Ovis aries: one gene and its partners. The protein of the gene in region 4 interacts with the protein of the main gene of each other region in a pairwise test. Links are inferred from orthologs where the notes say so. Each region holds a gene or a part of one and is shown on either strand. Other genes may lie near its edges.

The links.
Region 1: the proteins of CERT1 (region 4) and ACTL8 interact in binary tests that used the Homo sapiens proteins (3 or more experiments, as listed by UniProt). The two-hybrid records come from large-scale screens. The link is inferred for Ovis aries from reciprocal best matches to the Homo sapiens genes CERT1 and ACTL8.
Region 2: the proteins of CERT1 (region 4) and CSNK1G2 interact in binary tests that used the Homo sapiens proteins (3 or more experiments, as listed by UniProt). The two-hybrid records come from large-scale screens. The link is inferred for Ovis aries from reciprocal best matches to the Homo sapiens genes CERT1 and CSNK1G2.
Region 3: the proteins of CERT1 (region 4) and RTN3 interact in binary tests that used the Homo sapiens proteins (3 or more experiments, as listed by UniProt). The link is inferred for Ovis aries from reciprocal best matches to the Homo sapiens genes CERT1 and RTN3.
Region 5: the proteins of CERT1 (region 4) and RTN4 interact in binary tests that used the Homo sapiens proteins (3 or more experiments, as listed by UniProt). The link is inferred for Ovis aries from reciprocal best matches to the Homo sapiens genes CERT1 and RTN4.

Annotation. Positions count from the first base shown.
Region 1 is NC_056055.1:248,512,471-248,517,263, reverse strand, and holds the start of ACTL8 (actin-like protein 8), read left to right. Parts: upstream 1-1,637; 5' UTR 1,638-1,683; coding exon 1,684-2,031; intron 2,032-4,350; coding exon 4,351-4,793.
Region 2 is NC_056058.1:41,931,070-41,935,174, forward strand, and holds the end of CSNK1G2 (casein kinase I), read left to right. Parts: intron 1-933; coding exon 934-974; intron 975-1,099; coding exon 1,100-1,169; intron 1,170-1,245; coding exon 1,246-1,394; intron 1,395-1,489; coding exon 1,490-1,724; intron 1,725-1,797; coding exon 1,798-1,883; intron 1,884-1,968; coding exon 1,969-2,053; intron 2,054-2,134; coding exon 2,135-2,301; intron 2,302-2,403; coding exon 2,404-2,487; intron 2,488-2,578; coding exon 2,579-2,685; intron 2,686-2,813; coding exon 2,814-2,868; 3' UTR 2,869-3,728; downstream 3,729-4,105. UniProt on the Homo sapiens protein: Serine/threonine-protein kinase. Casein kinases are operationally defined by their preferential utilization of acidic proteins such as caseins as substrates. It can phosphorylate a large number of proteins. Participates in Wnt signaling.
Region 3 is NC_056074.1:38,530,209-38,534,313, reverse strand, and holds part of RTN3 (reticulon-3), read right to left. Parts: coding exon 3,254-4,105; intron 1-3,253. UniProt on the Homo sapiens protein: May be involved in membrane trafficking in the early secretory pathway. Inhibits BACE1 activity and amyloid precursor protein processing. May induce caspase-8 cascade and apoptosis.
Region 4 is NC_056060.1:6,790,105-6,794,209, reverse strand, and holds part of CERT1 (ceramide transfer protein), read left to right. Parts: intron 1-1,769; coding exon 1,770-1,902; intron 1,903-2,708; coding exon 2,709-2,779; intron 2,780-4,105. UniProt on the Homo sapiens protein: Shelters ceramides and diacylglycerol lipids inside its START domain and mediates the intracellular trafficking of ceramides and diacylglycerol lipids in a non-vesicular manner.
Region 5 is NC_056056.1:69,034,603-69,038,707, forward strand, and holds part of RTN4 (reticulon-4), read left to right. Parts: intron 1-2,836; coding exon 2,837-2,906; intron 2,907-3,501; coding exon 3,502-3,548; intron 3,549-3,737; coding exon 3,738-3,796; intron 3,797-4,105. UniProt on the Homo sapiens protein: Required to induce the formation and stabilization of endoplasmic reticulum (ER) tubules. They regulate membrane morphogenesis in the ER by promoting tubular ER production.

The DNA of each region.
Region 1 (4,793 bases), on a different chromosome or scaffold from region 4:
AAGCTCTCATTTTCCTGATGGCGTTGAGCACCGTTGCATGTGTATATCTGCCATTCGTATATTGTCTTTTGTGAGGTGTTTAAATCTTTCACCCCTCTAAGAAATTGGGTTATTTTCCTATTATTGGGCTTTGTGAGTCCTTTATATTTCTTGGGTAAAAGTCCTTTATCAGGTATGTGGTTTGTAACTATTGTCTCCCAGTCTGTATCTTATATGGGTTATCCTCTTATTAGTTTCTTTTGAAGAGCAAATGTTCTTGAGTTTGATGAAGCCCAACCTCTCAATTTGCTCTTCTATGAATCAGGCTATTAATGTTGTATCTTAGAAAACTTTTGAGATCACAATGATTTTTCTGCTGTGTTTTCTTTCAAAACTTGTATGGTTTTAGGTCTGATATTTAGGTTTATGATCTATTTTGAGTTAATTTTGGACACAATATGAGATGTGGAGTCGAGATTTTTCTGCATGGGGATCTGCGGCTGTTCCCGCCGTTTACTGTAAAGACTCTCTGCTTATGTCATTGTTTCTGCACCTTGTCGAAGGTCAGGTGACATTTTCTGTGTGGATTCACCTCTGGGCTCTCCGCCCTGTCCTTTAGGTCTCTGTGATTATCCTCTCACCAATACCGCATAGTCTTGGCTAGTTTATTTTTATAGTCAAGTCTGAAAATCGGCTGGTGGCCACGCCTACCTCCTCAGCACATGTGTGTTTTTCTTAATTGCCCTCACTCTACAGATGCGGACACCGACCGCAATCCTGGTTAGCTGCCTCACTCACAGCCTCTTGTATATAGTCTGTTAGATGCTCAGCACATACTCCAACCCTGTGTCTTCTCAGCGGCCTGGCCTGATGCTCGCCGTGTTCTCTGGATTTTGGTTTGGGTTTAAGTCTCAGCCCTGGTTTTATTGGTTGTGTGGCCCTGGTTTTAATCTCCGTATGCCTCAGCTTCCGTACCTGTCAATGAGTATCATGATGGTACTTGCCAAATAGACTGTGGTGAAAGTGAAATGGTATAGACGGTGGTGAAAACGAAAGGGGACCGTTTGTTGGGTCAAGCTCTGAAATTGTTGATATTTGATCATTTCTGATGGACACACATGACTGTCTTGCCTCACCCAACCTGAAGCTCAGCCTCGCAGCGCTAGGTAGGCAGGAGAGCGTCCGCTGCAGAGGCGGTTGCCGCGGTCGTCATCGTCCTCGCTGTTCCTCTCGCTGCTCCTGTGGTCTCACTGTTATCGAGGGCGGCGGCCCCTGCAGCTGAAGCTTCGTCTTCCACGTGTCCTCAGTCAGGCAGCCAAAGTCCGCCAAGCCCACCCTGTGTGACAAGCTTCTTAGGAGTCTGCAGGCTGTGAGAGGGCCTCTGGGAGCAGAAATGCCCAGTTGGTGTGGACAGGTGTGGCGAGTGCAAGAGGAGAAGGTTGGGAAGCGGGGGCAAGTGGGTCGGCTGGACGTCCAGGTGGGGCCTGGGAGGTGGCCTTTATGGAAGGGGGGTTTGGGTGCAGGTTGCAGCTTGCTCAAAGGCCCGGAAAGGGGAGCAGATGAATTCAGGGGAGCCTGAGGTTTGACTGTGGGGTGGAGAAGCCAGTGGCGGCCTAGAGTGGCTCATAATCGCCCCGTCCTCTGCCTCCACAGGTGGCCAGACTCGCCTGCGGAGCCCGTGGGCAGACCTCCCCCGCCTCCACCATGTCTGCGAGAACCATCATCATCGACCACGGCTCTGCCTTTCTGAAGGCTGGCTTGTCGGGCTGGAATGAGCCGCAGCTGGTCTTGCCCAGTGTCGTGAACTACATCCCCTGCCGGGAGAACCCGGGCCCCAGCTACGCTCGGCGGCGCGTGAGTCTTGGCATTGACATTTGCCGACCCGACACCTTCAGCTACCCCGTGCAGCGGGGCCGCGTCATCAACTGGGAGGGTGTGGAGCACATCTGGTCGTTTATCCTGGAGAAGCACCGGCTGGAGCATGGGGACTTCCCTGTGATCGTCACAGAGAGCCCCGTCAAGGAGCCCGTGGACCGTCAGAAGACCCTGGAGGTAAGGGCTTCTCTGGGCTGCCCATCCAGGGAGCGGGCCTGACACTGTGTTCAGACCCGCGTGGGTGCGGGAGCTCCGCCCTCTGAGGCATTCACCCTGTGAATACTGACTGCCCCGTGTGTGCCCAGCACTCACGTTAGGCAAGGGGGGCTCACAGAGGCCCCCGGGGCAGGAGGCAGCAGGCCAGCGCGCTGTGAACAGGCTGCTGTGCGGAGGGGCTCCGGGCGCTCACGGGCTCCCTAAATGTTCACAGAGAACCTTCTGGTCTTCAAAGAGCTTATGTGCTGGAGGAATGCTTGATGGTGAGGAAGTTAACAAAATTCCAGGTAGTAATCAGTTCTAAAACCAAAATGCAATGGGGTGAAACTGACTGAGGGAAAGAAGGGGAGCCCCTTGGAAGATGGTGATCAGGGAGGCCTTCTCTGGGAGGCTGGAGCCCAGCAAACTAGGGAGGGTGATAACAGGGAGCCAGGGGCTGGATCTCATAGGTCTGGTAGGCTGTGGGACGTGGTTGGATTTTATTCTGAACCGAAGGTTAGCAAACTATAGCCAGTTGGTCAAGTGTGGCTTACCATCTGTCTTTATAAATAAAGATTTATTGAAACGTACCCACGCCCGCTCATTTACACATCACCTAAACGGCTGCTTTCACCCTGCAGCCCAGAACTGAGTAGTTGGAAAGAGACTGTGGCTCGTAAAGCCCGAAGAGTACTTACCGTTGTGGGTCTGCTAGATAAAATACACGGTAGATTGGAATTTCCCATCACAGCAAATAATATTTCAGTGTATCAAACACTGCATAGGATAAACAGTGAAGCAAAGTGAAGTCGCTCAGTTACGTCCAGGTCTTTGCGACCCCATGAACCGCACCCTACCAGGCTCCTCCGTCCATGGGATTTTCCAGGCAAGAGTACTGGAGTGGGCTGCCATTGCCTTCTCCAGAGGATCTTCCTGACCCTGACCTGGATCGAACCCAAGTCTCCTATGTTGTAGGCAGACGCTTTACCGTCTGAGCCGCCAGGGAAGTCCTAGGACATAGTGAAGCATTATTTGTTGTCCATCTGAAATTCAGATTTAATTGGGTATCTTGTATTTTTATTTGTTACATCTGACACCCTGAACCATTTATAGAAAATGTTTGCCAGCCTCTGCTCTGAGTGAATATGGAGCTCCTGGAGAGCTTTAAGTGGAGTGTGGGGTTTGCATTTGATTTTTTTTTTGAAAAAGAGGACCTTGGCTTCTGTATGGGGAGTGGATGGTAAAGGGGCAATATTCTGAACATAGGAATGGACGGAGCTCCCTCCCACTGAGGGGAGAAGGTGGGCCTGCAGGCCTGCAAAGGCGGCTCGGTGGCCAGAGGTTACAGGGGCTACAGAGCTGGGCCGTTGGAGCCTTTCTGCATCTGTGGTGTCAGAGCCCTGGGGATGCAGCCTGGGCTGGGCGGTTGGGGAGGAGGGGGTGGGGTGCTCTGTAAAGACTGTGGGGGTGACAGGCAGAGGAAAAATCAGCCGGGGGACTTGCCAAGCTCTAAAGATCAGAATTCCAGCTTTGTCTTGGTGTTTGGAAAGTGTTTATCTTAAAAAACGGACTTCACGTGTCAGGAGGTTAGCGTGTCTCCCTTGCCCCCCGCCCCCCGCCTTCCCTTCCTGCTGCCCCTCCTTTCAGGAGGCAGTGGTCTGTGTGCAGCATGGCTTTCTTCTCTCATCACTTCCGTCTTATGAAAAAATGGTTCAGGGGCCTCCCTGCTGGCTCGGTGGTGAAGAATCCGCCTGCCAGTGCAGGAGACACAGGTTCCATCTCTGGGCCAGGAAGGCCCCATGTGTTGCGGAGCAGCCAGGCCCGTGACCCGCAGCGACTGAGCCTCTGCTCTGGAGCCCGGGAGCCGCAACCACTGAGCCCGAGCCCCCGAGAGCCCGTGCCCCACAAGCAGAGAGGCCGCCACAGTGAGAGGCGCCCTGCAGCTGGCGCGTAGCCCGATCTCCACAGCTAGAGACAAGCCTGTGCGGCAGAGACCCGGCACGGCCAAAAGTTTAAAAATTGGGAAACAAATAGCTCCGGCTGCAGCTCCCGCGCTGGACCTGCCCCACTTGCGCCGGGCTGCTCACACAGCCAGGCGTCTCAGCGCCTGCGCGCACATGCTGAGGCTCTCCCTGCCCCTCCGCCAGAACGGTCTTCTGAAAGGCCATCGTCAAGCAGCTCCCAAGGGCCAGCCTGGCTTTTTCTGACCCTCCAGGACCCTTCCCGAGTCCCCCCAGGGTGAGCACTCTGCTGGCACTGCCCTGGGGGGCGCGCTGAGTTCTGTCTGCTCCCCTCCTGCAGATCATGTTCGAGTTGCTGGATGTGCCGTCTGTGCTTCTGGCCGACCAGCTGGAGATGTCGCTGTACTCGTCCGGCCTGCTGACGGGCGTGGTGGTGGACTCAGGCTGTGGCCTGACCCGCGTGCAGCCCTTCCACCTGGGCCGCCCGCTGCGGCCCGGGACAAAGACGCTGGAGTTCGCGGGCCAGGACCTCTCGGCCTATCTCTTCAAGAGCCTCTTCAAGGAAGATTACAATCGCCACAACCTGTTCCAGCTGGACACCGTGGCCAGCACCCAGATGCATAAATGCTACGTGCCGCAGAACCTGGGGGAGGAGCTGGACTTCTATCAGGGCCTGCCGAGCGGCGCCGACGAGAGCAACAGCTACCACCTGCCAGACGGCACCGCCGTGGAGCTGACCCCCCTGCAGCGGCTGGCCCCCGAGATGTTCTTCAGCCCCCAGGT
Region 2 (4,105 bases), on a different chromosome or scaffold from region 4:
GGCACTCAGGCCCCAGAGGGTGGCCGGGTGGTGCTGGGAGGGGCAGAGAGGGTGCAGCAGCTTGCTGGGTATGCACACAGGCCACCACCCCCGGGTGCTATCTGGGGTTCAGCCAAGGGTGGGAACTAGCAGGTGAAAAGCTGGCCTGGGCAGGGGTTCTGGAGCTTTTGTGTTTGCAGTTTTATGAGGTTGAGCAGTATAGCTGGTTCTCAATGCACACCTGGAGGTCCAGGTGGCTGGTGAGGGGCTAGGGGAGACCTCTTGCCCCAGGCATGTCAGTTTCTAAGCCTAGGATGCAGGTTTACTTTCCTCCTGATGGGCTTTGTGCAGGAAGCCTCAGGCTGGGGAAGGGGCTCTTGGCCCTGGGGCCCTTACTCCACCGCAGGGGATAGGGGGGGTTGGGGTGGGGGGGTGGGCCTTGTCCAGCAGATGTTCACAACTTAACTGTCTGGACTTACAGGCAGGGCGTGGGTTGGGGGCCTCCCTCGAGGGTCCCTAGAACTGAGAGGGGAGAGTGCTGGTCAAATGGCTTGATGGATGGGGGCTCAGAGAGCATCTGGGGACAGAGACGGGTTGTAGGGTGGTGTGGATGTCTCCTCCAGGTCTCCGGAGCTGAAGAAGGGCCTTGGGGTCACCAGGACTCTGTTCTGTGTTCACTCTTCTAGGTGGGAGAAATTGGAGTGCATGGGCGTGCTGGCGGGAAGGATCCCGCTGAGGACAGGGGAGCAGCCCCCAGTGGGCGGAGGCAGGGTTGGCCTAGGGATGGTGATGGGTGAGGGTGCTCACAGCCGGGGGGAGCCCCTTGCGGGCATCCTTTTCCCTCCCAGACTGGGAAGGAGGGGACCAGCGCAAGGGGGGCTGTGAGGGGAACAGGAGATGCGCGGGCTCATGGGCTGGAAGTCCCGCGGGCCTGATGTGCTGCTTCTCCCACAGGAAAGAATCTCTATACAAATGAATACGTAGCTATCAAATTGGTGAGTCCAAAACCTGCCCCTAGCCCCAAGCGGCAGCTGTCCCGATGGGCTTGGCCAGGGTCGGGGCGGGAGGAGGGCAGGACTGCACCCTGCGTGCCGCCCACGCGTCCTCTCGTCCCTCCCAGGAGCCCATCAAGTCCCGGGCACCGCAGCTGCACCTGGAGTACCGCTTCTACAAGCAGCTCAGCGCCGCAGGTACCCCAGGGCCGGGCGTGGGGGAGCTGGGGGAGCCCGCCTGGGCACCGCGCTAGTCTGTGTCCTCCATCCGCAGAGGGCGTCCCTCAGGTCTACTACTTTGGCCCGTGTGGGAAGTACAACGCCATGGTGCTGGAGCTGCTCGGGCCTAGCCTAGAGGACCTGTTCGACTTGTGCGACCGCACGTTCACGCTCAAGACGGTGCTCATGATAGCCATCCAGCTGGTGCGGGCCGGGCTGGGGCGGAAGGGGCGGGGTGGGGCGGAAGTGGGAGGCGCAGAGAGCGGGCTGAGGCCTACCTACCGCCCGCGCACCGGCAGATCACGCGCATGGAGTATGTGCACACCAAGAGCCTCATCTATCGCGATGTGAAGCCGGAGAACTTCCTAGTGGGGCGGCCGGGCACGAAGCGGCAGCACGCCATCCACATCATCGACTTCGGCTTGGCCAAGGAGTACATCGACCCCGAGACCAAGAAGCACATCCCGTACCGCGAGCACAAGAGCCTGACAGGCACGGCACGCTACATGAGCATCAACACGCACCTGGGCAAGGGTGAGTGAGTGGTGTGTGGGCCGGGCAGGGGATGGTGGTTGGGAGGGCTGTGCTGACCTGCTGTCCCCCGCAGAGCAGAGTCGCCGTGATGACCTGGAGGCGCTGGGCCACATGTTCATGTACTTTCTGCGCGGCAGCCTGCCCTGGCAGGGGCTCAAGGTGGGTGGGCCAGGCCGAGTGGGCAGGCCGGAGGTCTCCCGCGGGTGGGCAGGCCGGCCAAAGTGCTGACTCCACTCCCCTGCAGGCCGACACGCTCAAGGAACGCTACCAGAAGATCGGGGACACCAAGCGGGCCACGCCCATCGAGGTGCTTTGTGAGAGCTTCCCAGGTGAGAGTCGTCTCCCCATGTACCCCCGCCCCCTTGCTCTGCATACCCCTGCCCAGTGCCCTTGCCCCGAGCCTCCACTAGCCCTGTTGGTGTCTGCAGAGGAGATGGCCACCTATCTGCGCTACGTGCGGCGCCTAGACTTCTTTGAGAAGCCGGACTACGACTACCTGCGCAAGCTGTTCACCGATCTCTTTGACCGCAGCGGCTTCGTGTTTGACTACGAGTACGACTGGGCCGGGAAGCCCCTGGTACGTGGAGGGAGGGGGCTGGCACGGGAGGGGCCCCTGGTAGGTGAGGGTGGCTGGCAGGGGCCCCCAGCTGAGCCTAAGCTGCCTCTTGCTCCCTTGCAGCCCACGCCCATCGGCACGGCTCACTCTGACCTGCCCGCGCAGCCTCAGGTTCGAGAGAAAGCCTTGCTCTACAGCAAAAACCAGGTGAGTGCCAGGCCAAGGACCGCACCAAAGTGTGTGTGTTGGGGGGGTGTCAGGCGGGGCCCACCTGACTCCCCGCCCCCGCCCCCCGCAGGCACTTAACTCCACCAACGGGGAGCTGAATGCTGACGACCCCACCGCCGGGCACTCCAACGCCCCCATCACAGCCCCTGCAGAGGTGGAGGTGGCTGACGACACAAAGTAAGGCCCGCAGCTGGGTCGGGAAGCAGGGATGTCCTGGGTCTGCCCCCTCGTACCCTTGCTCCTCCTCCTCCACCCTCACCCCTTCCGCAGCTTGTGCCCCCTTTCAGCCTGCGTCCCCCTTCCAGGTGCTGCTGTTTCTTCAAAAGGAGAAAGAGAAAATCGCTACAGCGACACAAGTGACCCCCCAGGGCAGTGATCCCCGAATCCTCCCGCTGCAGCCCCCCGGGGCCAGCTTGTCCACGGCCTCGTTGGCCACAGCCGGACGCAGACTGCAGGCCGGCAGCGCTGCCGCCCCCCGCGCGGGGTCACGACCCTCACATAAGACTTGGGCCGAGATTTCTACACCTGTGTCTAGTCCTCCCCTCTGAGAGCATTAACTATTTAAAACAAGGAAAAGAGAAACCACAGCGGCTGCCCTGCCCTGCGCCCCCGCCCGCGTCTGCTGAGTGAGTAGAGCGGCCGCCGGCACCACCGCCCGCCCGTTAGTGTCATAAAGTCCAGCTTGTCTCCCTCGATCCAAAGGCCGTTTTCTCGAGGGGGCGCTGCGGGGCGTTGCTGCCGGGGGTGAGCCCACCCTGGGCCTCCCCAGACTGGAGGGGAAGGCGGGGTGGGGGCGGCCCCCAACCAAAATGCTGCACCAAAGCCTGGGCTGGCAGGCGCGGCCCTCAGGGGTCCTGGCACCTGTCGGTGGAGCCGCCGGCCTCAACTTGGGCTGGGGGCAGCCACCTCGAGGCCCGTGGGCGGCGCGTGTGCGGGCTTTTTGTGTCGCTCCGCGCTGCCGGCCGAGCCTGGAGACAAGCGCCTTAAAGCCCGTCCGAGCCCCGCAGGTGTGTGTGGAGCGGGCAGCCCCGTCAGTGCCGTCCCAGTGGTCCCCTGGGGCTGCGAGCTGCGGGCAGAGCAGCTTGGGCGTCTTCGCGGTGCGTGCGTCTAGGTCTGGCTTTACAAAGTGTACAGAAATGGCACTTCCGTTTCTCTGATGCTTCCTGGAAGCCATAGAACTTAGGGGCTTTTTTAAAAAAAATAAAGAAAAATGAAACCAATTCCCAGCGTGGTGTCCAGTCTGTCAAAGGGGTGTGTCTGGGAAAGGACACGCACGACTAGGGGTCTGGAAGGGAGGCACACGCCGTGGGGAGGGAGCCAGGGAGTAGCAACCCCCTGCTCAGGAGAAGTGGAGGTGGGAAAGAAGGTAAGAGAACTGCAGTGAGATAACCGGGTTGGTTTATTGGGGGCAAGTGGAAAATCAGTTAACTACATCACAGTGAGAACAGAGGAGCCACAAATACAAACGTAAAGGATGGGGAACTTTGCCCCAGTTTACGCAAGTCCACTTGAAACCGCCACTCAGACGGATTCCCTTCCAGGAGCAGAAGGGCCTCAGCTGTGTCTGGATGGCTGGGTCTCGAGTGAACCCCACAGC
Region 3 (4,105 bases), on a different chromosome or scaffold from region 4:
TTTTAAAAGGTTTTTAATTCTGAAACCTTCAAAGGAAGAACTTTTAGCTTCTTGGTCTAATTATACTAGTTTTCATTATCATCTAAAAATGTCTATTAATCATAGAATTTGGTCAGTGACAAAATGACTTAAACTTCCATAGTCCTTTTCATCTCTCACACTAGATTAAATAACTCAGTTGAGATTTACTAATAATTAGCCTTTACGTAGTACTTTATTTACTACAGGATCTTCCTTGGTGGCTCAGACGGTAAAGCATCTGCCTACAGTGCAGGAGACCTGGGTTCAATCTCTGGGTCGGGAAGATCTCCTGGAGAAGGGAATGGCAACCCACTCCAGTATTCTTGCCTGGAAAACGCCACGGACGGAGAACCTGGTTAGGCTACAGTCCATGGGGTTGCAAAAAGTAACACCATGCTGCCGCTGCCGCTAAGTCGCTTCAGTCGTGTCCGACCCTGTGCGACCCCATAGACAGCAGCCCACCAGGCTTCCCCGTCGCTGGGATTCTCCAGGCAAAAACACTGGAGTGGGTTGCCATTTCCTTCTCCAATGCATGAAAGAGAAAAGTGAAAGTGAAGTCGATCAGTCCTGATCCCATGGACTGCAGCCCACCAGGCTCCTCCGTCCATGGGAGTTTCCAGGCAAGAGTACTGGAGTGGGTTGCCATTTTCTTCTTCACTATGAAGAAGGGCAAAATACCACAATATTAACAAAGCAAGATGCCAAACCAATTTGGCTAATTGTCAAAGGTCACATTAAAGCAGGAATTTGCCAGAATTAGACACTGGATTGTTACCACCTAATTTCTATACACCTCATCACCTCAAAAACCTATGTTTAAGAATTTTGACAAGAAGTCATGAAGAAAACTAGTATTTACCAGGGTCAGAGAAACGGTATTGACGATCACCTACTTCAACATCCTCACTTTATAGATAAGGAAACTAAAGCCCCAAAAGGTGATATAACTTAATTGTTTAAAGTCACATTTCTAGACAGTGTAAAGCAACAATATGGATTCAGGTCTCTTTAATCCAAGTTCAACTATCTTCAACTTCTAGAGTATAACAGCTATCCTTAACTGCCATTTCACACTTTTGAGTTTATAAAAAAGCCTCAGTGTTTTCACAGATAATTAATAACAATGCATTCAGTAACAAATAATGATCCAGGACCTACTATATGCCAGGTCCTGTACTTGCTGCTAAATGAATATTTACTATATACTGGGCCCAAGGCAATGGCACCCCACTCCAGTACTCTTGCCTGGAAAATCCCATGGGCAGAGGAGCCTGGTAGGCTGCAGTCCATGGGGTTGCTAAGAGTTGGACACAACTGAGCGACTTCACTTTCACTTTTCACTTTCATGCACTGGAGAAGGAAATGGCAACCCACTCCAGTGTTTTTGCCTGGAGAATCCCAGGGACAGGAGAGCCTGGTGGGCTGCCGCCTACGGGGTCGCAGAGTCGGACACGACTGAAGCGACATAGCAGCAGCAGCAGGCCCTCTAAAGAAAGCTGAGCACTGAAGAATTTGATGCTTTTCAACTGCAGTGTTGAAGAAGACTCTAGAAAGTTCCTTAGACTGCAAGGAGATCAAACCAGTCAATCCTAAAGGAAATTCATCCTGAATATTCATGAGGACTGATGCTGAAGCTGAAGCTCCAATACTGTGGCCACCTGATGCGAAGAACTGACTCATTAGATAAGACCCTGATGCTGGGAAAGAATGAAGGCAGGAGAAGGGGATGACAGGATGAGATGGCTGGATGGCATCACCAACTTGATAGATGAGTTTGATGAATCAAGGAGCTGGTGATGAACAGGGAAGCCTGGCGTGCTGTAGTCCATGGGGTTGCAAAGAGGTGGACACGACTGAGTGACTGAACTGAATAAACTTAGGCCCTTTATAACCTGCATTTACACTTTTAATCTTCACATTATTATAAAGTAAGTACCATTATTATCTCTATTTTAAGGATTAAGATTTAGTAAGGTTAAATAACCTGTCCATGGTCTTTGGTAAGGAAATACCTTTATAAAATAAGAAGTAAATGGTGCCTTTCTGCCGCAGGCTATGATGGGCAGCAGTCATGGTTCTGCAGCAGCCTATGGCTGTGGACTTCCAGGTGACCCACAGATCCCAGCAGGTAACCTAACCAAGCAAGCAAGTTAGTGGTACCCTGGCTGGAAGAAGTGACCGGAGGGAAGTGGCTGCAAAGGACTGAGCCCCTTTCTTATTCTGTGCATAATAAAACCTTTACAGGGGAAAAAAATATGGTACAACCTCATTTAAAAAGTTTCTCTTAACAAAAATCTCATTTTCTTTTAAATATTATAACTCTGTGTCTGATTTCATTTGAAAGAGGAATCTATTGGTTAAGAAGTTTGGAAAACCACAGGGCCCTGCATAGCACCTAACTCTGACCACACTGATCATACACCAAGTGCAGAACCTCATATCAGATTAGAGGTTGGGGCTTGATTCTGGAGGCTTTATAGATCTTTTTTTCATTACACTAAGACACCAGAACAGAGAGCATCTGAAGTAATTTAAATGACGGTCAACAGCTAGGAAAGTAATCACTCAAATAAGCAGAAGACAAGCAGAAGGGCTTCTAGTACCATGCAAAGAGTTTTGACCTGAAGAATGTCAACAAGGTCCAAAGTAGAACAATGCACGAGTTCTCCTAAAGCATCACTGGCACGACTGCACTACAGTACTGGTTACCTACTTTCAGAGCATAAAATCTCTGTGGTATAAGATCAAATTAATTAAAAGTTTCATTTATTATCTTCCCAGCAGGAATTCCTTTCTCTTTGATTGCTAAATAGATTTTACAAGGGCTAAGCAAAATACCTAAGGGCTAAGCAGTGCTACTATTACGGAGATTTTATATTAATCTGTGCAAATAAGAGCCTAGTGATAGTCTTAAAAGCAGCAATCTCCCCTACAGTCAACGTATAATGAAAAAACTGGACCATGACATTTTTTTCCTTTAGGAGAATATTAATTTTAACAAGTAGTCTCCTGCTTTGGGAAACATTTGTATAAGAAAACCAAATCAAACAACCATTAAAAAAAAAAATCTACCTTTCCCCATTATATAGTATATTTTATTCTAGCTATAATTTAGTGATATAAATCAGAGACTAAGAAAAATGGCCCTCTAAATAATCAATCATAGCTGAATTAACCACATGCAATATTTCTTTTTTTCCCCACATGCAGTATTTCTAACGTAAGTGGTTACCTGACACGTCTGTCAGAAGTCTTGTTAGGACAGGCTCGTTTACCGGCTCAGTCTTGCTAAGGCTGGAAATAGCCTCTACCCTAGTAGTTTCCTTGATAACAGTGGGCTTCCTGGAAATCTCAAGATCAGATCCAGTCTCGACATCTTTGTGTTCTAGGACATCAGCTGATCTCTGTGGCCAGGAAGATTCTTTAACATTTGTTAAAGTCTGTTTGAATATTTCTTCAGGAGAGTCTCCTTTATCCTGTACAGAAGCTGACTTCTCCACCTTCCTTTCACTCAGTTCTTTAAGTGCTTTGATTGTGAGCTGTTCTTGTTCTAAGTCGAGAGATGCTATTGGAGTACCTTGGGTAGGGAAAACTTCCAGAAGCTTACTCCCATTTATTTCTTTGCTTTGTTCACTGTATTTGCTTTCTTTGTTTTTAATTTCAGAACCACCTGACTTATTCCCATGCAAAACATCTAGAGGAAGAATTGTTTTAAAGTCCTTAGTCTCCTCTGATGTTGCTTCAAAGGTATTGCCTTCACCTATACCTACTATTCCTTTCTCTCTGGTTTCTGTAAAGGCCGCCATCAGGTCCTCTGGGGAAGAATCATCTGGATCTTTCATATTTTTTTCATGCAATGACTCCAAATAGGCAGAGCTTGTCCCACTTTGTGTGAGTTCTGTAGGAGCTGCTTCTGAAGGGAGTTTTGGGTTCTCAGCTGCAACAGGCTTTTCAGGAACAGCTTCATGCTTACTACCTGACTGCTTCACTTCTGGCGTGCCATTCTTATTAGATACTAGTGAACACACTGCTTCACCTGGGCTCCTTTCAAGAGGATCAGGCCGAACTTGTCGTGGCTCAGAGT
Region 4 (4,105 bases):
ACCAACAACAGTATCGTTGAATTTTGGATTACTTCATGCCCAAGGCACAATGCTAAAGATAAACAGATATTTAATAAGACTCCCTCCAAGCTGAAACTTTGGTTGGAAGGAGGATATTGACATTTAAAAGATAGAACTATTTAGCTCTACCAGATAATATTAAATGAAAAGTACAGGTGAACAGTGGAGGAAAATTGAAAGAGATCTCAGATTTGAGACAGATTGTTTTACATCAAGGACTATGACTAGAAATGGAAACAAGGTTCTCACAAAGGTGAGGCGAGGGCATTTATATTCAGGAGTTTTGTACAGATTTTTGACCACAGTTATTCTCACAAGTGAGATACAGTATTAGATGTTGGAATTTACTCTCCTCCTGAATAGGGAACAAATTAAGAAATAGAGGAGGTAAGCAAATGAGAGACCAGCGTGTTAATTAGAATGCTGGCAGTCTGGTTAGAGAATGGTTAGAGAACAGAAAGACCAGCTGTCACGAGGCCTTACTAGTACGTTACCCCAGAATGAAACATAATAGTTCTGACATAACTAGGTAATCAGAGGCCTTCCCCCACAAGAGCGAGCCCCAGAAGCAGACCAGCATACATCCTGCCCACAGGAGAAGGGGTTCAGCCAAGCCTGCCTGACTCTCCTGTGTCCACCATTCAGGTGTCCCTGTTTCCCCGGCAAGGAGGGGGAAGTGAAAGGGTGAGGAGAAGCCGGGAGTCACTGTCTGAGTGGAGGTCCTTCACCTGAAGTGAGCGGTAGAGAAGAAGTGCTCCTACCGCTTTAGAGAGAGAGTCGCTGGGGCTGGTTTATGCGGTGTATAAAATAACCCACAAACAGAATGTGTTATTGTCTGTAGCAGTGAGCTAGCCACTGTATACAGAGTGACATTTTAGAAGGACTAGGCTCATAGGGATATGAAACTAGAGACCACTTAGGAGATTCAGGTACAAGGTGATGAAAACATACCTTAAAAAGATACACAATAGTAGAAAAGTCAAGTTTTGGATGTCTTACAGATTACTAAGAAGCTTAAAACCCATGTGCAATGTAAGGGAGGAAATCAAAAGTCTAGAGTTTCCAGTTTTGGTTACTGGAAAAATATTATCAGTCCCAATAACATAAATAAATGTGTAAGGAAAGGTACTTTGGAGAGAAATTAGGTGAAATGCCTGACAGTGTCCAGCCCCATAGGCACTCCATAAATTGAGAGCTGGTTTCCTCTGTGATAACCTGATTATTTTTCAAAGAACTTACTCCAGAGCTGTCTAAAGTACCAAATCCTCTATAATTTTGAAGTAATTAATTTTATTCAAGAGTTTATACAGTCTCAGTATTTAAAGCAAGACAGATCTTAAGGCATGCAACCTCAGTATTTAAAAGCAAGATATCATTGATCTTTATGCGATGTTAGCATTCCATCATTGGTTCAACAAATAATTGAGTGCCTTCATGTTTCAGATACTGTTCTAGGTGATGGGGATACAGCAGTGAACATATTATCCCTTAGGAGATAATGTTCTAACCAGCTGTATTTGGCCTTCTTAGCCATGACGAATGGTCTTTGAGAATGTTCAGTAAATAATGTCTAATTTAAATGGATGTATTTGTAGCTCTCACTCATTACATATACATACTTTGGCATTGTAGTATTAAATATTTTTTTGTATTGTCTTTGTTAATAATTTGAAATTTTAATTTTTCTTTTGGCAGAATGTTTATGTTGCATAAGTGTTTTTAAACATGTTTTAAAATATATCCTCTAGGTATATAGAAGAGAAGTAGAAGAAAATGGGATTGTTCTGGATCCTTTGAAAGCTACCCATGCAGTTAAAGGCGTTACAGGACACGAGGTCTGCAATTACTTCTGGAATGTTGATGTTCGCAATGATTGGGAAAGTAAGCTGCCATTACTATATTTTGATAGTTTTTAATTTTAAATTAAATACCAAATCTAACCTGGCCTTCTTAATCTGAGCTATAGTTTCCAAAGTCATAAAAACTCCAGATAGTTATGGAAACTACCTGGAGAATCATCCAGGGGACTGATAATACCTGAGCTTTTCATTGTACAAAATGCTTCTCAGTGAGTTACAGCATTAATCCACTACAGTCCTGTGTGATAGGTAGGTAATAAAGTAAAATTCAGATAGCCTAAGTGACACGTTAAAGACCACAGAACTAGTTAGTGGAAAAGCCAAGGCTAAAATAAAAGGTTTCTATTTTATCATCTTTTTTTCCTTCTATACTGTTTATGTGATAAATTGTAGATTAAGAGGGGGCTGTGAGGGGAGTGGTGTCAGGGGAGGGGGGTGTGTTCTCCTCAGGCTTACAGTCACCTAAACCTAGGTGAACAGCTTATTCAGCTCCGATAAATTAAGGATGACAAGAGAGGGAAGAGGTCATGGTGTTAGGGAATAATTTGTGCCCTAGTAATGAAGCCATGATTAGAATTGCTTTCTTGCAGTGGGAGCTGGATACTGGGCCAAAAAAAATTAGGTTTCCTGGTGATTAGATCTCATTGCCACCATCTATAACCCCTAATACTGTATGAATACAAACTCCCTTCCATGTGGATGTAGCCTCGGTAGAGCAAGATCCTGTTCATTTTACTATAATGTCTGTGTATAATGTAAGTGAATTAGTCACATACTGGGAAACGGTAACACATTGTTTTGACTGCTAACATTTTCTCTTCATTGTAGCAACTATAGAAAACTTTCATGTGGTGGAAACATTAGCTGATAATGCAATCATCATTTATCAAACGCACAAGGTAAATATCTTTTAATCCCAACAGGATTCCAGCGTAGTTTGAACAGAGACATACAAAATACTCTGTAAAGTAAAATTTGGCAGGAAATTAAGTTGCACAAAAAGATTCAAAGACTTTATTAATCACGAATTTCATGTATTCGAAAAGTAAATCAGATTATTTAAACATTTCTGCTTTAAAGCAGAAATGGATGCAAAAACAAACCTGAAAAATATCCAAAACATTATGTTTGATGGCGATATATAGTAAGTCTGGAGAAGAAAGTACTCAAATCTATTCAATGTTTTTCTAGTATCTAGTCTCTAGAGGAAATAAATGAGTGACCAAATATGAATCGGTTTCCTGCGACAGTAATAGGAGAATGGAAAGTATGTTATTAGTCTGTGTTAAGACTCAAAAGTGAACATGATCTAAATGGATTATCTGACATCAGGGAAAAATTGCTGAGCATCAGCTATTGAGAGGTTGTTGGTCATGCCCCAGAACACAAAGAAACATTGTCATTTAAATTGGTTTCCTTTCACTCCATTTCTTCCTCTGTTAATCTAAATATTTAAATTAGAGAATATTTCTCTTAACTTCTTCTGCTCTATTTCCATTCTTAACATTGCCAAATATTATGTTGAATAAACAATAATAAAATTTTGGAGAGATGCACCAAAAGCAGTTTTGTACATTATATAAGAAACATGATGATTCAGTAAGTACTTCATTTTTCTTTTTAAAATAATTTTTGAGTTGAATATTTGATAATATTTCCAGTTTTGTTATGTATTTCTTGAGCTAGTCTTGTTATCTGAGGCATGTAATATTTAATGACTCTGACTTCGGCTTCATTTACATGACAACTACTCAAAGGCATAACAGTGAAGATTCTGTTTTAACTTACTGATTTAGGGGGTTTAAAGTAGAGTCTGAAATTTAATAGACTTTAAAATATTAGTCGCTCTGTAATGTGCAGTGAAAATAAATGACCAGTCATTTAGAATCAGAAGGCGCTTATTTTCTAAAGATAATTGATCCTGGAAAATGGGCTGCAGAAATTATTTTGCTTCTTAAGTAGTAGATGGAGGGGAGGAATATATAGCTCATATTAGGATTATTTCTGGAAAACTAAAACTAAAGATTATTAAAGTAATGTATTTTATATATAACAGAATTTAAGTTACAGTTGTAATTAGTTGAATAAATGAATTGTCCTGGCATTTTTTCAACAAAATCCAGTAATAATAGGGTTTCCCTGGTAGCTTAGTTGGTAAGGAATCTGCCTGCAATTTAGCAGAGACCCTGGTTCAATTCCTGGATCAGGAAGATCCGCTGGAGAAG
Region 5 (4,105 bases), on a different chromosome or scaffold from region 4:
ATTTTTGTTTGGGGCCCTGAAGTGTTAAATTTTCTCCAGACTTAGCTGCAACATTTGTAAATTCTGTGATAGCACATAAAAATGTGAATTTCTGGATTTCTCTCCTAAAATGGGGAAACATGGCGGCACTGGCCTGGAACGTTTACTTGTGGAGCTGGATTGCAGGTGCTTCTTGAGAGGTAAAAGGCACATATCTGCCTTGGTCCTCACCGAGACTCCCTCAGGCATTTGTGTCACCAGCCTGCCCCCACAGAGGTCTGAAGCCTCCCTCCATTTCTCTCTGCACCTGGATCATCGGGCTTTTAGAACATGTCCTGCAAGAGGCAGATCTAATGACATCTGAACCCCCTACATCACCTTGGTGTGAAGACTTGGGCTTCTCTTTTTTTATGGATTTAGAGTGCAGCCTTGTCAGTGACTTTATGACCAGATTAGGACTTATGTTTAGCTTGTGTGTTAGTTTCTGAATTTTGTCATGGTAAGGGTATCTTTATTGCTAAAGCAATTTCTCCTAAAACGTAGGTTGACCCTTCTCTTCCTGACTTGGTGGATGGAGATGGATGAAAATAACTGTTGCTCTATGGTAAACTTGCTCAAGTGCAGGAGTTATATTTAGCTTTTGCAATAGGAGTCTGTAGAACTATGCGAGAGGGAAAGGGCTTGCTAACTGGAGTCACACTTCAAACCCTTCTGCCAGAGGTTCCATAGAAGTTGCAAAGACCAGGACAGCATTTAATTTTTGATTTGCACTTGGCAGCTGTTAAGAATGCTTGATATTTGCTCACTTGAACATTAAATTCAGTTACAGGGGTAACCAAAGTGTTGCTCTTTGTAGAACTGACAGTTGGTGCAGGAATCCAAGATTCTTCCTAACCTGCAGTAAATAAACTTCCTAGAGTCTGAATACTTTAATTACGGCTCAGTACCCAGCTCATGGCAACCCACCTGGTAGGCTACAGTCCATATGGTCGCAGAGTCGGACACGACTGAAGCGACTTAGCATGCACCCAGCTCATAGTAGGTATTCAATCAGATTTTGCTGAATGAATGCTACATGGACAAAGATATTTGCTTTAGATAAGAGTTAGGAAGCTACTGTTCGGTCTGGCTTGTGACCTGTTTTTGTACAGTCTGGGAGCTGATTATACTTTTTACGGTTTTAAAGGATAATATTCAAAGAATATGTGACAGAGATCCTTTGTGGCCCATAAAACCAAAAATGTTTGTTTTCTGTCTTTATTTACAGAAAGTTTGCTGATCCCTTTTTTAGATAATGGAGGTGCTCACTCCTCTCTCCTTTTCATTTATACTTTGCTCTTAGAAACCGAAATAATTGTCGGTGGTGGCATCGTGGTGGGATGTTTGTGACCTACTAAACAGGGCAGAGAGATTGCCAGACATATGAAGGCTTTTACTAGGAAACAGAGAAACTGCTTCTGCTGAATGTTTAATAAAATCCAGACTGACTTGGTGTTTATAAGTCTTCAAGAACTGCTTGAACATATCACTGAGTTTTTACTATATGGTGTCACCAAGAACTGGAAGAAAACTTTGAAATCCTCTTATTCAGCCATTCATGAGTAAACTATAATATGGTGAGGAAATAAAGGACTTCTCAAAATGAAAGCACTTTACAGAAACAAGGCTTTTCCCAAACTGCTATATTTAATGATTTTTTTTAATTGAAGATTTTGAGATGAGGCTTACTAAAATAGGAGTATTTAGTCTGCACTGCAGTCCCTGGGAGGAGAAGGCAGTGGCACCCCACTCCAGTACTCTTGCCTGGAAAATCCCTTGGACGGAGGAGCCTGGTAGGCTGCAGTCCATGGGGTCGCTAAGAGTCAGACATGACTGAGTGACTTCACTTTCACTTTTCACTTTCATGCATTGGAGAAGGAAATGGCAACCCGCTCCAGTGTTCTTGCCTGGAGAATCCCAGGGACGGGGGAGCCTGGTGGGCTGCCATCTATGGGGTCGCACAGAGTTGGACACGACTGAAGCAACTTAGCAGCAGCAGCAGTCCCTGGAGGGCACAGTGAAATATGACAGTATAACCTCAGTTCTAGCAAGTTCCTAAACCTCTGTTTTTTCCTTAGTGTCTTCATCTGCTGTGGTAATGATAGCAGTGCCCACCTCGTAAAATTGCTAGGAGGAATACATGAATTTGTATTTGTAAAGCACTTAAAACAGTGTGTGGTACTAATACATCAATAGTAAGAACTGGGTTAGTGTTTGCTAAATAAAGAAGGCAGTGGCTAAAAGAATAATAATGGTCAATTTTATTATTAGGTTTAAAAGTTTGAGTCCTCCTCATTGGCTGTTAAAACATTTATTACTGGAGAGAAAGTCCTTCTGATCCTTAATAAAATGTTAGAGCTGATATCTTGGGTGCTTGAGACATAGTCTCCTTGCGCCATTATTGCTTATTCAGATATATGTCTGAGTCATTCAGCTCATGTAAATCTTGAATCACTTGTTGGTACTTGAAAATCATTTTCAATAGTTAATTCTCACGATAGCTTTCCAGTCTTCCCATTTTAGAAGTTGAATACTATAGTAGAGCTGGAGGGGCTTTCTGATTTTAGAGGAAACAGAATCAACTATTTGGTAATGTACTTCAGAGGAAAATGAATCCTATCTAGTAACTGTTTTAATTAGATCCTGAAATTCCTGAATCGAGCCTGGCAGCTTAGTGAAATATCCATATTGTTTTTACCCAATCTCCAAGGAGTATGCCTATAGTAGTTTGGCATTTACATGGGATATATTTATTTGAAGATTTAATTTAAAAACTTGACTTGAATTTTGTCTTTAATTGGCTGTTATTCTCTTACAGTTTGCAGTGTTGATGTGGGTATTTACCTATGTTGGTGCCTTGTTCAATGGTCTGACACTACTAATTTTGGGTAAGTCTACAAAACCAATAGAATGAAAAATTTTTTAAAAGATTGGGGACTTCCTGGCAGACCAGTGGTTAAGACTCCATTTTTCCACTGCAGAGGCCATGGGTTTGATCCCTAGTGTGGGAACCAAGATCCTGCATACTGCACAGCACAGCGAAAAAAAAAAAAAAAGGTGTGCAACGAACTTCAAGATGTTTTAGTGGAAAATATTCTTATACTGTAGAAAAAAATAGAGGGATATACACTAGAGGTTGTGACCGTAAATAAATTGCTAATAATTATACTATTTATGGAAATGCCACTTACTTCCTGAAGACTACTCCAACAGTGATAAACCAGATCAAGAGTGGCCTTATTTGATTTTATTTCATATGTCTAACTAACTAGGGATGCCTATATTTTATAAAGTCTGTAATGTGAAGCCAGGAGTGGCTCCTGGCTCCCTTGGTTAATTCATTCCTCTGTCCACCAGCAGCTGTGTCTCCCTGTAGTAGGAACATTCCTGGCTCTTAAGAGTGCTGCCAGTTTGATGACTTAGGTATGATTTAGGGAACAAACACTGCAATCTACTTTAAAGCCTGTGTATTTCCTTTTTCAGCTCTGATTTCACTCTTCAGTGTTCCTGTTATTTATGAACGGCATCAGGTAATTTAACTGTAGATTTCAGAATACAAACCTCATTCTCTTATGTGGAACTTAGAAATGTCAGTGCCAGTTTCCAAAACCTTATGAAAAACGAGAAATGTGGCAGTTTTAAGCCTTTAATATGTTGGAACACAGTTCTAAGATTTGTTAGCCATGGTGATTTTCTAATAAATTCTTTATCTCTTTCAGGCGCAAATAGATCATTATCTAGGACTTGCAAATAAGAATGTTAAAGATGCCGTGGCTAAGTAAGTATTTAAAATCTGCACTTTTTTTACACTAAAGCTAGGCGTACTGGACTTTGACAGTAGTGCAGTATTTTCATGTTAAGACATAGTAGTCAATTTCAGTCAGACCTAAAGTGTGAGTTGCCAAAAATTTTCTTCTTAACATTTGGATCATTGATTCTGTACAACTTATATGTATCTAAGGCTTTGAGTCTAATTTGTGAGGTCAAGGTGGCAAAGTTATAGCTTGTAGTTTGACAGACAGCCTTAGGATTTTATTTCTTGTATAAGCTGAGCAATGTACATGTAAGTCTTGAAGGATAGACATTT